2 linked regions of the Lonchura striata genome follow. The protein of the gene in region 2 purifies or fractionates together with the protein of the main gene of each other region. This does not show direct contact. Links are inferred from orthologs where the notes say so. Each region holds a gene or a part of one and is shown on either strand. Other genes may lie near its edges.

Evidence for each region.
Region 1: the proteins of SNRPA1 (region 2) and SF3A3 purify together in Homo sapiens (affinity purification with mass spectrometry; 6 studies listed by BioGRID and IntAct, counting the BioPlex papers as one, with this or other methods). This does not show direct contact. The link is inferred for Lonchura striata from reciprocal best matches to the Homo sapiens genes SNRPA1 and SF3A3.

The regions. Positions count from the first base shown.
Region 1 is NC_134628.1:4,815,374-4,822,292, forward strand, and holds the start of SF3A3 (splicing factor 3A subunit 3), read right to left. Parts: upstream 3,095-6,919; 5' UTR 3,033-3,094; coding exon 2,937-3,032; intron 2,864-2,936; coding exon 2,816-2,863; intron 2,577-2,815; coding exon 2,524-2,576; intron 2,013-2,523; coding exon 1,907-2,012; intron 1,501-1,906; coding exon 1,428-1,500; intron 1,069-1,427; coding exon 977-1,068; intron 852-976; coding exon 769-851; intron 412-768; coding exon 273-411; intron 1-272. UniProt on the Homo sapiens protein: Component of the 17S U2 SnRNP complex of the spliceosome, a large ribonucleoprotein complex that removes introns from transcribed pre-mRNAs.
Region 2 is NC_134613.1:21,794,662-21,801,924, forward strand, and holds the start of SNRPA1 (U2 small nuclear ribonucleoprotein A'), read right to left. Parts: upstream 3,097-7,263; 5' UTR 3,020-3,096; coding exon 2,938-3,019; intron 2,261-2,937; coding exon 2,113-2,260; intron 1,643-2,112; coding exon 1,564-1,642; intron 1,211-1,563; coding exon 1,164-1,210; intron 540-1,163; coding exon 437-539; intron 1-436. UniProt on the Homo sapiens protein: Involved in pre-mRNA splicing as component of the spliceosome. Associated with sn-RNP U2, where it contributes to the binding of stem loop IV of U2 snRNA.

The sequences.
Region 1 (6,919 bases), on a different chromosome or scaffold from region 2:
TCTTAAGAAAAACAGTTCATTTCACAGAGAAAAATCCTCTTACTAAACTGAAAATGGAGCAGTAGTAAAGACGCAAAATAAGCCAACCTGAAACAATGCTCATTTTAAACCAGGTATGCTGGGTTTTAAATTCAGGTTGGTATCACCCTGCACCCTGGTGACACAGAGCTGCAGCCCTCACTGTCATGGTCACCTCCAGCAATGACTTTACACAAATGACTCACACAAACCCCTCCCAAACGCAGGAAGATCACCCAGCTCAGGCTGCTCACCGGCCAGCCTGGGAACGTGCCGTTCTCCCACTTCTTCTCAAACTCCGTCTGAATTTTCCCAAAAAGTTCATTCTGGTCCAGTAATGGCTTCACTCGATCTGTGTAATCCTGCAGGTACTCAAGGAGCATTTCAAGATACCTGGAATACAGGGGAATCATGAGCACAGGTAATTCACTGTCACCCTCTAACCACATCTTTGGACAGTCACTACCCTCCAGTGCTGCAGAGGAACGTGACCAAGGCATGGCCAGTTTTCCACAGATTTTTTTGCCATTACAGGTCCAATGGTACATTAAAGCTCTTCCTCTGAGCTGAATGTGTCTTTCCACATCTCTGCTGCACTGCAAGTTTGATTGGGGCTCAGACACATGACTGAGCTCAGGGACATGATTTATGTGAGTTAAGTTTGGCTGTTAATTACAATCTCTGCAGCTGGACACTTCAGAAGCAAATTCCTTCTCACCATAAAGGAAACAGGCAGGCAAACAAGCTTACCTCTTATATTCAGCATTTTTCCTCTCCTTGGGAATATCGAAGAGTTGGTCAAATGTGGATAAGTAAGTGATATAATCCAATTTCTAAGAACAGAAAGTCCGAGTCAGAGCTCATACAAGGCCAGATTAACAACCAGTTCCTAGAAAAGACAAGCCTCAGCCCGGGCAGGGCCTGGAGATCCCTGGGCCCACACACAGCAGACACTCACCTCTGATGATTTCAGGTTGATGTACTTGAGATAACAATCATGCAAATCCAAGTATCGGCCATACCCTTCCTCATCTGTGAACTCCACCAGATCTGTAGGAAAGATCATGAAAAGCTTTATTATGAACTTAATATTCCCTACTTGTATTATACAACTCTTTTTGAACTGGAAAAGGATCAGCTGCAAAGTCATTTATGCTTAAGGAAGGTGCTACAATGTCTCTGACACTCATTGAGCAGCCCCAACTGCTGCTCTGTGCAAGCACCAGAACATTCCTCAGGAACAGCAGCCTCACTGGGGACTGTTCCAGGGACTCCAGTTCAGAACCATTTAGATGACAGGAGAATTTTCAGAAGTCATTTAGTAAAAGGGAGGTGAGGCCCTGAAACACGCAAACCAGATCAAACAGCCTATTAAATAATGCCAGAGCTTGAGCAAACTACAAACTTACTCTGAGCTTCTTCACTCGGGTTGTCTTTGGCCTTCAGCAGCTCCTCAAACTCCACTGACATAGGAACACAGATCTGCAAAGGCAGATACAAGGCACAGAGCGATTTACTTCAGCTCCTGTCCCAGAATAACTACTATAAAATCATGCAAGGTGGCAAATAATGAAATTGCAAACAGAAAAGAGACTCAAAGCTTTGTCACCTTTCTTTCTGCACAAAGGCAAAAGTGTGGCTTTAGCCAGCACAAGAAAGGTGAGATCTGATCCCAGCTCAGCTGAACATCCCTGTTCTAGCAGGGAACAGGGTGAGCATCCTGCACTGCTCCCTGACATGCTGCCTGACCCTGAGCATCTGTGCTGTGTGTTCTCAGTACTTGTGTGTTAAAGCAATAAAACTGGGGAAACAAAACCTCTGTTTCCTTTAGGGATGAGACCCAACAGAGCACAGCACACCTCTTCCTATGGACCAGGTAACTACTCACCTCATTTGGGTGCTTCCGGTGAAATTCCTTAATTTGCTTCAGTCTGTTGTAAAACTCTGCAAATTCATTTGGCCCGGAAATGGCACTGAGTTCTTCCTTACGCAGGCTATGAGTTCACAGACAGCAAGAGATTAGGAAGGGAAGGGAATAAGGGAGCAAAGGAAAGGAAGGGAAAGGAAGGGAAGAAGGGAAGGGGGGAAGGGAAGAAGGGAATAAGGGAAGGAAAGGGAAAGGAAGGGAATAAGGGAATAAGGGAATAAGGGAATAAGGGAAGGGAAGGGAAGGGAAGGGAAGGATGACACTGACACAACCTTAGTCCAGGGCTGTGCTGCAGTGTCTAGACTGCAAACCTTTAAGTCATGGGGACCTCCCAGCCCACCAGGCTCTCATGGTCACAGCCCACACAGGCTGCAGCCCCTGACAAACCCCGGGAGCAGGCAGGGCCTCCCCACGACACAACACAACAAAACCTGCCCATCCTACACGGATGCTCCTGGGTGCACTCGCGTCCTGCCCTGCACTCGGCCGCCACCTCTCCATTCCCGTGTCAGTCTTTAGACACACTGGATCCAGCAGCCCGGCACGCTCCGACACACGAGGGCCCCGGGCACACTCACCCGTCCTTGTCGTCGTACAGGTCCCGCAGGTTGCCGCTCACTTCCATGTACCTCTGCGGAACAAAGGAGCGGCCCGAGTGGCGCCGAGCCCGTCACCGAGCCCGTTATCGAGCCCGTTATCGAGCCCATCATCGAGCCCGTCACCGAGCCCGTCACCGAGCCCGTCACCGAGCCCATCACCGAGCCCGTCACCGAGCCCGTCACCGAGCCCGTCACCGGGACGGGCCCCGGCGGCCCCGGGGAGCCGCCCGGCCCGGCCCGGCCCAGCCCCGCTCCCGCCCGCAGCACTCACGTCCTGCATGGCCCGGGTGCGGTGGTCCGAGTTGATCTGGTCGCGGAGCTGCGGGCAGAGCAGAGCGGTGAGCGCGGGCCCGGGGGAGCCTCCCGCACCCCCCACAAGGCCCCGGGCGCACCGTGGACTTCTTGGTGAGCATCTCCTTCACCATCACGTCCATGAGGCGCTCCCGCTCCTCATGGTAGCGCCGCTGCTGCTCCAGGATCGTCTCCATGCCGCGCTCGGCTCGCAGCCGCCGGCAGGCCGCGGCGAGGCCCCGCTGTGTGGGGAGGTTCCGGTTCCGGGGCGCTGCGCGGGGCCGCGGCGCGGCCGGCAGGAGGCGGCTGCGGCCGTGCCCGAGCGCGGTGTGTGACCGCGGGTTTGTGTCCGACAGCGGTGTCTGACAGCGGGGATGTGTCCGACAGCGGTGTCTGACAGCGGGGCCGTGCCCGAGTACAGTGTCTGAGAGGGGGCCGGTGTCCGACAGCGGTGTCTGAGAGCGGGGCCGTGCCCGAGTACACTGTTCGAGCGGCCGGGCCGTGCCCCTCAGCGCGGGCCGTGCCCCTCAGCGCGGGCCGTGCCCCTCAGCGCGGGCCGTGTCCGAGCGCGGTGTCCAAGCACGGACCGTGTCTGAACGAAGTATGCGAGTGTGGGGCCGTGTCCGTGCGGCAGGGCCGTGTCTGAGTACAGCGTCCGAGTACAGTGTCCGAGTGGCAGAACCGTATCGGAGTGCGGTGTCCGAGCCGCAGGGCTGTGGCCAAGCACAGTGTCTGGGTACAGTGTCCGAGCACAGGGCCGTGTCCGAGCGCAGTGTCCGAGAGCAGGGCCGTGTCCGAGCACAGTGTCCGAGTACAGTGTCCGAGCACAGGGCCGTGTCCGAGCACGGTGTCCAAGTGCAGTGTCCAAGCACGGGGCCGTGTCCGAGCACGGTGTCCGAGCTGCAGGGCTGTGTCCAAGCGCAGTGTCCGAGCACAGGGCCATGTCCGAGCACGGTGTCCGAGCGCAGTGTCCGAGTACAGTGTCCAAGCACAGTGTCCGAGCACAGGGCCGTGTCCGAGCACGGTGTCCGAGCGCACTGTCCGAGCACAGGGCCGTGTCTGAGCACAGTGTCCAAGCACAGTGTCCGAGCACAGGGCCGTGTCCGAGCACAGTGTCCAAGCACAGTGTCCGAGCACAGGGCCGTGTCCAAGCACGGTGTCCGAGCGCACTGTCCGAGCACAGTGTCCAAGCGCAGTGTCCAAGCGCAGTGTCCGAGCACAGTGTCCAAGCACAGTGTCCGAGCGCAGTGTCCGAGCGCAGGGCCGTGTCCGAGCCATGGTGTCAAAGCACAGTGTCTGAGCACAGGGCCCTGTCCGAGCACGGTGTCCAAGCGCAGTGTCCAAGCACAGTGTCCGAGTACAGTGTCCGAGCACAGGGCCGTGTCCGAGCACAGTGTCCAAGCACAGTGTCCGAGCACAGGGCCGTGTCCGAGCACGGTGTCTGAGTACAGTGTTCGAGCACAGGGCCATGTCTGAGCACAGTGTCCGAGTACAGTGTCCAAGCACGGGGCCGTGTCCAAGCGCAGTGTCCAAGCGCAGTGTCCGAGCACAGTGTCCGAGCACAGTGTCCGAGCGCAGTGTCCGAGCGCAGGGCCGTGTCCGAGCCATGGTGTCAAAGCACAGTGTCTGAGCAGAGGGCCGTGTCCAAGCACGGTGTCCGAGCGCACTGTCCGAGCACAGGGCCGTGTCCGAGCACGGTGTCCAAGCGCAGTGTCCGAGCACAGGGCCATGTCCGAGCACGGTGTCCAAGCGCAGTGTCCGAGCGCACTGTCCGAGCACAGGGCCGTGTCTGAGCACGGTGTCCGAGCGCACTGTCCGAGCACAGGGCCGTGTCCGAGCACGGTGTCCAAGCACAGTGTCCGAGCACAGGGCCATGTCCGAGCACGGTGCTTGGTGGCACTGAGTGGCCCGAGGTGCCGGTTTGGATTTAGGGCTGCCCCAGCCTGGAGCCTCCCGGGGTTGCCCGGCCACAGCAGCGCTGTCCAGTGCCCAGCCAGGCCGTGCCGTGCTGGCTCCCCACGGCCGGTGCCTCAGTGCCCAGCAGCACAGACTTTGCTTTCAGCCCCATGTGGGTTTCAACTGCCTTCTTCAGATCCCCCCTAAATCCAAGGGTGCCTTGCCCCAACACTGCCAAATGCAAAGCTGTGATTACATTTTGACTCACTGTATATTAATAAATCATTAATATTTTTCTGCCATGTGCAATAAATTACTCTCAGCCAAAAGCAAGAAAAAAAATTGTCTTAATGGCAGCCAAAGATGATCCTTCAATGAGGATAGGATGATGCTGCAGGTAAGAATACTGTCTTTAATTACTCCCTTGCATTATAGGCAAATTACATCACTTTTCTTCATGAATGCCTGCCTAAAAATAAAAACAGAGATATGATTCTGAGCTTAGTGTTCTTCCATTTCTCTTTGCATGAACCTTCACTCTGGAAAGGGAAGAAGTTGAAATCCAGCAGTGCCCTCTCCAGCCACATGGCCTTCTTATTTTGGACTGCTGGCATCAGGAGGATCAAGGTGGGACAAGACCAGCCCTTGCATGACCACCCTCCTCCTCAGCCCACAGGTGGCAGTGCACATGGGAGGAATTGGGAGAAAGCTGGACTAAGAGATGCTATTTCATTTCAGGGACTGGGAGCTGAAATGCAGAGAATCACAGAATATCCTGAACCCATGAGGATCATCAAAGTCCAACTCCTGGCCCTGCACAGGACTCCCCAGGCAGTGGCTTGTACCTGGCTCTGCCCATTGGGGCTGCAAACGCTGCCCCTGATCCACAGTGGTGCAGGAGGGCATAGCTTGGGCAGATTTGGTCAGTGCCAGGGTCTCTTTCTACCCCTGCAGTGCTGCCCCATGTCCTCAGCAGCTTCCCCCATCCCACCTCACCAGCACAACAGCCCTGGCTTGACCCCCCTCACACCACTCCTTGTGCCTAATAAAATTTCCATGACTGTTTCAGACCCACACTCCAGAGTCTCGGGGGATGTTTGTGCATGACATCACCCTCCCCCTCCTGTAAATCAGGCACTGGGCCATGTACAGCCATGACCCATTCATGACAGGGATAAAATCCAGATGTTTCAGTGCTACGTGCAGCTGGGTCATTTCCTTTTTTGGCTAAAAACGTGAGGCTCTGGAGGCTGACTGAAAGAAGAGCCTGGGGGCCCCTTGTATAGAAACCTTTTGCGGTTAATCCCTGGAAACAGCACTGCAGAAAGCCCGGCTGGAGCTGCTGCTGCTGGAGGACAGGCTCAGCTGGGAACCTCTGGGCTGGAGCTATTCACTCACCCTCCAAGGGCCAGCACAGCACCAGAGCCCAGCCCAGGTCACAGGGCAGCAAGAGCAACAAAAATCGTGCTAGAATTCCATCAGCCAGCAGAGCAGAGCCTTTGAAGCGGCCAGGAATGTGCACACACCAGTGCCATGGTCCTGCAGAGGCACCCCGTGGGCTGTGCCCAGCCTGCCACCACAGCAGCACCCATGGGAGCCTAGCCACTGTGCTGAGAGGGCTGGAGCAGGCAAGTCCAGAGCAAGTCACAGCAGCTGTTGGTAAATGTAAAGGATCTGTGGAAAATAGTTTCATATGTTAGGGAACACATGGCTCCCTGGCTGATAAACATGAGTACAGAGCATGCAGCACTTCAGGGAAGGCTGCCAAGAGGGACCGTGGATATCCTGGCTGGAGGCTGCAGCTACCCCAGGAGTCCCCTTGGAATGCTGTGGCATGGGCAGGCAGTGCACACTGCAGGGCAGGAGGCTGCTCTGCAGCAGGGTTGGCTTGGTACCACAGCCATCCCAACAGTCCCACAGCCAGCCTGCAAAGACAGCAAGGACAGACAGATGGACACCCCCAGCCCCTGGAAGCCACTGCAGCCACGCAGCAGGAGGAGGGAGACGCTGTGGCCACAATCACAGGGCCGGCACGGCTGGTCCTGGGCTGTGGTTTGGGAAGGCAGGCACAAGCACTGCAGAGGTTGCCCGTCCCCAGAATGGGATCAGGGGTGAGGCAAGGCTGAGCAGAGCCCAGCACCCACTCAGCATTCTGCCCTGTGCCTGCTGTTCAAGAGACACAGAAGAG
Region 2 (7,263 bases):
GAAGAGCTCTTTCCCACACTCATCCCCCACCCAGGGCTGAGGGCTCTGGTGTTTGCTCATTTCTTTCTCTAGAGGTGTCTCCTACCAACACCAGAAGGACAAGAAAGAGTTAACACTAAACAAAGGCAATAGAACTTAATTAAACATAATTAAACAGCTTTTTAAAAATATTTTAATAAAATTAAAATATCCTTAACAGAAGGAAACCATGAAAGAAAACAATGAGAGCATTGTAGAGCCACTTACAGAGTTTCAATAAAATTTACAACTATGGCAACAAGATTGATGTTAGTGGTGAATTTTCAAAAGTGCAAAAAAAACCCCAAAAAAACCGAAACCGCAAAAAACCCCAAAAGAAAACCCTAAAAAGAAGCCCAACCAAACCAAAAAAACCCCACCAAGTACAAATACCTAAATCAAAAGCAAGCAGACTTACTTTGAGCTTCACTTTTTGAAAATCCAGCACTCTGACCTGGGGAACTTTATGAATTAAATATAATCTGTAATGTTTCTTATTTGTTACAGGATTCCTTAGAACGCTGTGAAGTAAATAAAGGTTATAAAGAGGCTTTTAATATAATTTTTTTTAATACACTTGTATTGAAATATATTAATATACTTGAAATGCATTAATGCACTTCCTGCTGTAACAGGTAACAAATAACATCATGAAATAAGTTCAGTGACAGTTCTTTGATATTATGGAAATTATAGTAAAAACTTGCACTTTAGCAATTCAGTAGATTTAACTGAAGGATGACATTAAGAACAACCTCAAAATAATCATAATACTCCCCCAAAAAAGTAACTGAAACATCACTTTATTATTACTGAAAAGTCCTTGTTTACATGTATTTTAAACTTTTTTTATCAACAGATTAAACATCTTGGGTTTAGATTTTTAAAGGTTAAACTCACTTCAGCACTTGTGTATTGGTTTCTAGAGATGTTACATCTCATTAGAAACAGTCTGTCAGTAATATAAAACCTCAGCTATTAATTACCAGATGCTCATTAAGTTTATAAATTAAATTTTTAGACATAAAGGATCTGTCACATCAGCTCATAAAAAGCAGAGCATTCCAGACCAAAGCAAAGGGCCAGGCCAGCAGCAAAGTTCAAACACCAGAGAAAGAGCAGCTTTTCTTTTTGGGGTTACATACCTCAGGTAAGTCAATGATTTAATACTTGATAATGGATCCAGTTCACCCTGGGTAAAGGGAGCACAGCAAGATATTTTAAGCGCCTTTAGCAAAAAAAAAATCAACTATTTGAAAACGAAGTTCCTGAACTAATATATATTTTTGAGATTAATTAAATTACTGCAATTATTTTAATAGGAAAACCACTAAGCTTTGTGACTGCTGTTCCACTACATGATGCAAATCATGTTCATTAAAGCATGTACACCATTAACTACTGCCAAAACTGCAGGATGTTACTCTAAAGAGAAAGAACCAACTATTACCAAAAGGATATGGCACTCTCAGGAAAATGGTCAATTGGAGAGATGAAAACCACAAATTTTAAGCTTGTTTAGCTTTATCCTGCATGCCAACTTACCAGTTCAGCAATGTTGTTGTTGGTAAGAATGAGCTCTGTGAGGCTGGGCAGAGCCTGCTCCAGGTTCTCACCAATCCGACTGAAGAAGAAGAAAAAGCAAAGGTTTCATTTAGGGCAGGAATTAGCAATGCTGGAAACACACAGAGAAACTCAACAACCCAGTCTGACACTGGCAGAAGTCTGGGTGAGCATCCAAAACACTTTTCTAATAAAGCTGGCAATAAATCACTGCAAGAATATTAGGTGCAATGAGATTTAAATCCATTCCCTTGCAGGTATCCCTTTTCTCATGTCTTTCTGGAGCTGATTACTGAAATCCAAAGATGTGGCCAGACCCCAAACTCTGCATCTCCTTGTCCTGGCTGAGAAACAAACACTGAATTTTGCATTGAATCAGAAAGAGGGCCCACACAGTCCTCAGTGCTGATTTTATTGCCTCAAACAAACACTCCTGCATCTGCCCAGCACTGAAAGATGCACACACACTCCTCTCCCCCAAGAGGATTTTCCTCTGCCCAGAGTCCCATCAGGCCAAAGCACAGCCCTTACCAAATCCTGTTGTTATTCATGAGGAGCGTTTTCAGCCTCCGCAGCAGGGGGAACCCGTCCAGCTTGCGGATCTCGTTGTCAGAGAAATCGATGGCATCAAACTGGTCCAGAGTGGCACCCAAGTTCTCAATGACAGGGATTTTATAGCCTGGAGAGAGAGCGCAGGGCAGGGATTAGATGGTGCCCACAGCAGAGCAGACAGAACAGAGTGTGTGGGGGCAAATCGGGATGCTGATAAGGCTCAGACAAAACACCTCGGGACTGATTCTGCTCCACACCACTCCCAGACCAAACTCTCCTCCTCAAGCCCAACAGCCCTCATGGCTTTTTGAATCCTTCATCCTCCCCCACAGCAAAACCCCAGCTCCCTGCCTGGACGTGTCCTCCGAGCCGAACCCACCTTTCACCGCCACAGCACATGCCTCCCACATTCCCTCCAGTATCGCCTTCTGGTGGTTGGCACGAGATGATCTTTAGGTTCCCTTCCATCCTAAAGCGTTCTAGCACTCTGTGATTCACGCCCTCACACCCCCCGCAGGTCCCGAAGCCGCTGCAGCCTCTCCAGGCGCTCTTCACCCCCACCCCCGGCCGCCGCAGCCCCTCCAGCACCCTCCCGCGGCGTCCCCGTCCTCCTTCCGCACCTCCGGCCGCGGAAGGCGCCAGGCCCCACTGGGAGATCCATCACGGACCTCCGAACCCCGTCACGGCCTCTCCTCCGGGACGCACCGCCAGGCCCCAGCACAGCCCCGCGCCCACCCCGGCCCGCAGCCCGCAGCCCTCAGCCCCTTCCCAGCGCGGCCCTCTCGCCCCGCGGGGCCCGCGCACCGCGCAGATCCAGCTCCCGGTCGCGGACGGCATTGGTGTACTGTGCCGCTTGCTCGATCAGCTCCGCCGTGAGCTTCACCATCGCGACAGACGGCGACAGACCGGGACACAGCGGGACGGACACAGCGGGACACACACAGCGGGACACACACAGCGGGACACACAGCGGGACCCACCGCGCCGCGCCGCCGCAGTACGCCGCGCCGAGCGCCGAGCGCCGAGCGCGCGCAGCCCGGGCGGCCGAGCGCCGAGACAGCGAGCGGCAGAGACCGCCCTGCCCGCCCCTCCCGCCTTCCCTTCCCCTCAGGGACCGGTGCGGCCCCGACAGCCCATCCCTGCCTTCCCCTCAGGGAGGGGTACAGCCCCGACAGCCCATCCCTGCCTTCCCCTCAGGGACCGGTACAGCCCCAGCACCCCGTGCCTGTGTTCCCCTCAGGGACTGATATATCCCCCAGCACCCCATCCCTGCCTCCCCTTCCCCTCAGGGACTGATATATCCCCCAGCACCCCATCCCTTCCCATCAAGGACTGATATATCCCCCAGCACCCCATCCCTGCCTCCCCTTCCCCTCATGGACTGATACCTCCCCAGCACCCCATCCCCGCGTTCTGCTCCTCCCGGGCCAGCTCCCAGCCCCACTCCCAAGCCATGGCTCACAAGCCCAGGAGGGATTTGGCTTTGCTGTCAGCACAGGTGTCCCCAGAGGTCCCCTCCCACCTTCTGGTGTTTCCAGGCGCAGATTTAGCTGCAGAAATCCGGGCAGAGCAGGAGGAGCACGCTTCACGCCATGGCTGGTGCTCCTCTTCAGACAGAACCGTGTTCAAACACTTGCTGCTCCTCAGGGCACCTTCTGCAGCAGCCACAGCTCTTGGTGCTCTCCATCCATCCCAGCAGCAGCTCAGCCTTTGCTCCTGGACATTGTTTTGCCCATAAACATCTTCCCCCTGCAGCTTTTGGGGCAGTTTCCCTGTCACTTCCACGTGCACTCCTGGTCTGAGGTGCTGTGGGAACACCCCACAGGCTGCAGCACCACACACCCTTTTTATCTGTGAGACAAAACGTGATCGCAAACGTCACGACATCCCCCTAACTGGCTTTGGGAATTTGGGGAACAGCAAGGAAGGGCTGGGAGTAGCGCTGGGGGAGCTGAGGGGGCTCTGGCTGCTGAGGCTGGGGCACTGCCTGGCACCACTGGGACAGGCACAGCTGGCGGGTGAGCCACACTGCAGTGACGGGACTGGAAGTGACATTTAAGGGACACCCCCAGGCCCCCAAAACCTGCTCAATGTCACCAAGCTGCTGCTTCTGGGGAAATCCTTCCCTGGCCTTCATGGCCCGCAGAGCAGAATGAGGAAAAATGATTTCTGCCGCCGCTGCTATCGTGGGGAGGATGTTTTTTGTGAGCCATGACATTTCTGTGAACCCAGAGGATGTGATAACAGGCTGAACACTGCTGCCACGCTTGGCACTGCTCAAGGATGGCTCGTGCTTTTCTTTTTGGGAGCTTCTCAGGGCATCACCCCGGGCCTGCCTCAGTGTCCAGGACTGCAGATCCCTGCCAGGGATCAGCTGGGCTCAGGCAGTTCCTGTGCTCCCTGCTGGCAAAACTCCCTCATCAAAGCCCTATGGGAAAGCACAGAGTCAGGTTTTTTATAACAGCTGCATTTGTTTTATAACATAGGAGGGAGCAAGAACAAGAGGGAGCTGTCACAAGAAAAACCCAAGAATTAGCAGCGCTGTTGTACATGACTCAGGCATCATGCAGCGTTAAAGACTTTAGTCATTTCAGGCTGCTCTTACAAGGAGACTCTTTTAGCCTCCTGGAAAGCAGGCCCTGCCTCTGACAAGGCCAAATAAAGCATGGACCTGTCTCCCTCAGCACAATACATCTGTTTGCTTCAGCTCTACAGCCACAATAGAATTGTAATTGCGAGCAGATGGATTCTGGGTCTCAGACGCTGCACACAAGCTCTCGACAGTCCTTTCTTTGCAGTGAAAACTCAAAGCAATGATTTTTAAGATCTGTTCTCCCCACCTGCCAACTGCACAATGGCAGATGGCCGTGGCTGCAACCCCAGGGCCAAACTGCAAACGAGGAGTCAGGCTGCGCTAAGATTTTCCAGAAAACAGCTATTATAGATTTGGCTTTGGTGCCAAGAGACAACAGAGAAATGAGCTTTAATAAATTGCCTAAATATGCATTTATCTTGAAGACACAGCCACTTTGATCCTCTGAGCATACCAGTCAGAATTTAATAGCTCTGAGCAAGTATTGCAACAGCTTGGAGAAATAATCTGAATTTTATTACTTTACAAGAATGATTTCTGAGGAAAACGCTGGAAGCTGATGTTGTTGCATGAATTCAATGTGCAGAATTTGTTTTTCTTTCCCTGGCAGGCTGGAAGGCAGCAGAAAGCAGGATAGAGCTGGAACTGCTGGGGACTGGTCATCTTAAATTGCCTTGCCTTCCCCAGTGTGTATTTTAAGTTATGTCAAGATGTAAGAGTAAGCATTTTGCTTTCTTTGTAGCATTTCAGTACATCTAAATATACCAGGGAGCAGTGTTTAGAGGCAGGCTGCTGTGAGCCAGAGAACTGGAAGGCTGGCACAGTACTCCTGATCCACAGCTCCTGTTTTCTCACTTACACAGCAGGAGAAATGAAGTTTGGTGTTTTCCAACCCAAGGGGCAGAAGCCAGAAGTGTGTCACCCCAGTTCTGACCTCTGGTTTGGCCTGAGACTGAAAGGGAAATCCTGCAGCAAAAGGAATCACTGTATGTGATTAATTCACATTTATCATCTGATGAATGTGAAGACCAACAAAATGCAGGAGCCCACAGCTGCACAACCCTGAGAAAGCGTCTTCCCTTGTAGGAGGGCTCGATTTCTTTTATTTTTCCCCCCACTTAAAAAGCTCAGTTCCAGATTTCCAGGCACTACCCTGGGCACTTGGCCCATGGTTGTTGCAAAACCAACACGACAAACAAAGGGTTCTACAGCTCCCTGCATCCCCAGCCACAGCAGCAGCTCCTCTCTTTCCCAGACAGCCAACAAGGAACAGCTGCTGGGAGCTGCAGTGGGGAACTGGGAGCTCGGGATGCTCCTTGTATGAGTGGGGAAGGGGAGCAAGTTTTTCTGCCAGCTCATCCACACTGCAGAATACACCCACCCCAGCACGGCCCCAAACCCCAGTAAGATGGCCCTGGGTGCACCAGCCCGGCCTGGCACAGGGCAGGCACAGGGTGGTATTCTGGATTTGAGTTTCTTCTCTAGGTAAAAGACCTTTGCAACAACAATAGCGAGGTTTTTGCAGATGCAGCTCATCTGTTCCTGAGCATGTCTCCCACAGGTGCTCCAGCCAGGGGAGCTGCTTTGTCCAGCAAAGTAAGGACATGCAGTGCTTCCAGTGAGGACTTAATGAATTTGGAAAAAGCACAGATTCATTTGTCAGGGGAGATCAATAGTTTATTAACTTAAAGATCAGTTCACCATAGCTCCATCTTTCCTTGGATTTGGTCCAGGCAGGTGAGGGCTGGAGACAGTGTGGCTTTCTCTCCTCACCTGGCTGAGGTGAGCTCTTGTGGGCAAGCCCAGGCAGGGCAGGTGTCGTTGCAGCCGAAACCAAGCAGGGATTATCCCAGTTCCGTGTGGAACTGGTGACAATTTCACTGGCAAGAGGTTTAACTCATTAAAACTATTAACAATGAAAATCAGAACATGCAGCGTAGGAAAGTTTACATATGTCTCGTGCAAAGAGTGGCTTTGCAGGGTCAGAGAGGAGAAAAGGAGAAGGAATAAGACACAAAAAGATACCCCACTCCCATATAAAAAATAGTCCACAGAGGAAAAAAACAAGGATTGTATAAGTTATTTTTTAAAAATCTGTAAAACAACATAGCCAAGGATATTTTAAACACAATTATATAAACACCACATGACTTACTATTAAGAGAGAGCATGAAAAGGTTTGTTTCAGGGAAGGGTTTTGTGGAATTAAGTTTCCTGGCTGGATCCCTGGAATGTCTCATTTGGGAAATAGATGCCCAAGAAAAATCACTGCCATGAACAGGAGGATTTTGTGTGAGAGAGAGAGGGGTGTACCCAGCGAAACAGGGGAAGGATCATAACACAAAATGCCAAGAAAGATTAACTGGGACAACATCTCGTTTAGAGGAAGGATTTAGCTTGTTCCAGAACTGACTTGATCAGCAATGCACAAGCAGTTCCAGGAGGGAAATACATTTCATGGTAAGGCTGGTCCATGTGGACAACCCCCCCCCAAAAACCCTACGACTCCTTGTAGGCACACGGGTTTTGCCTGGCTG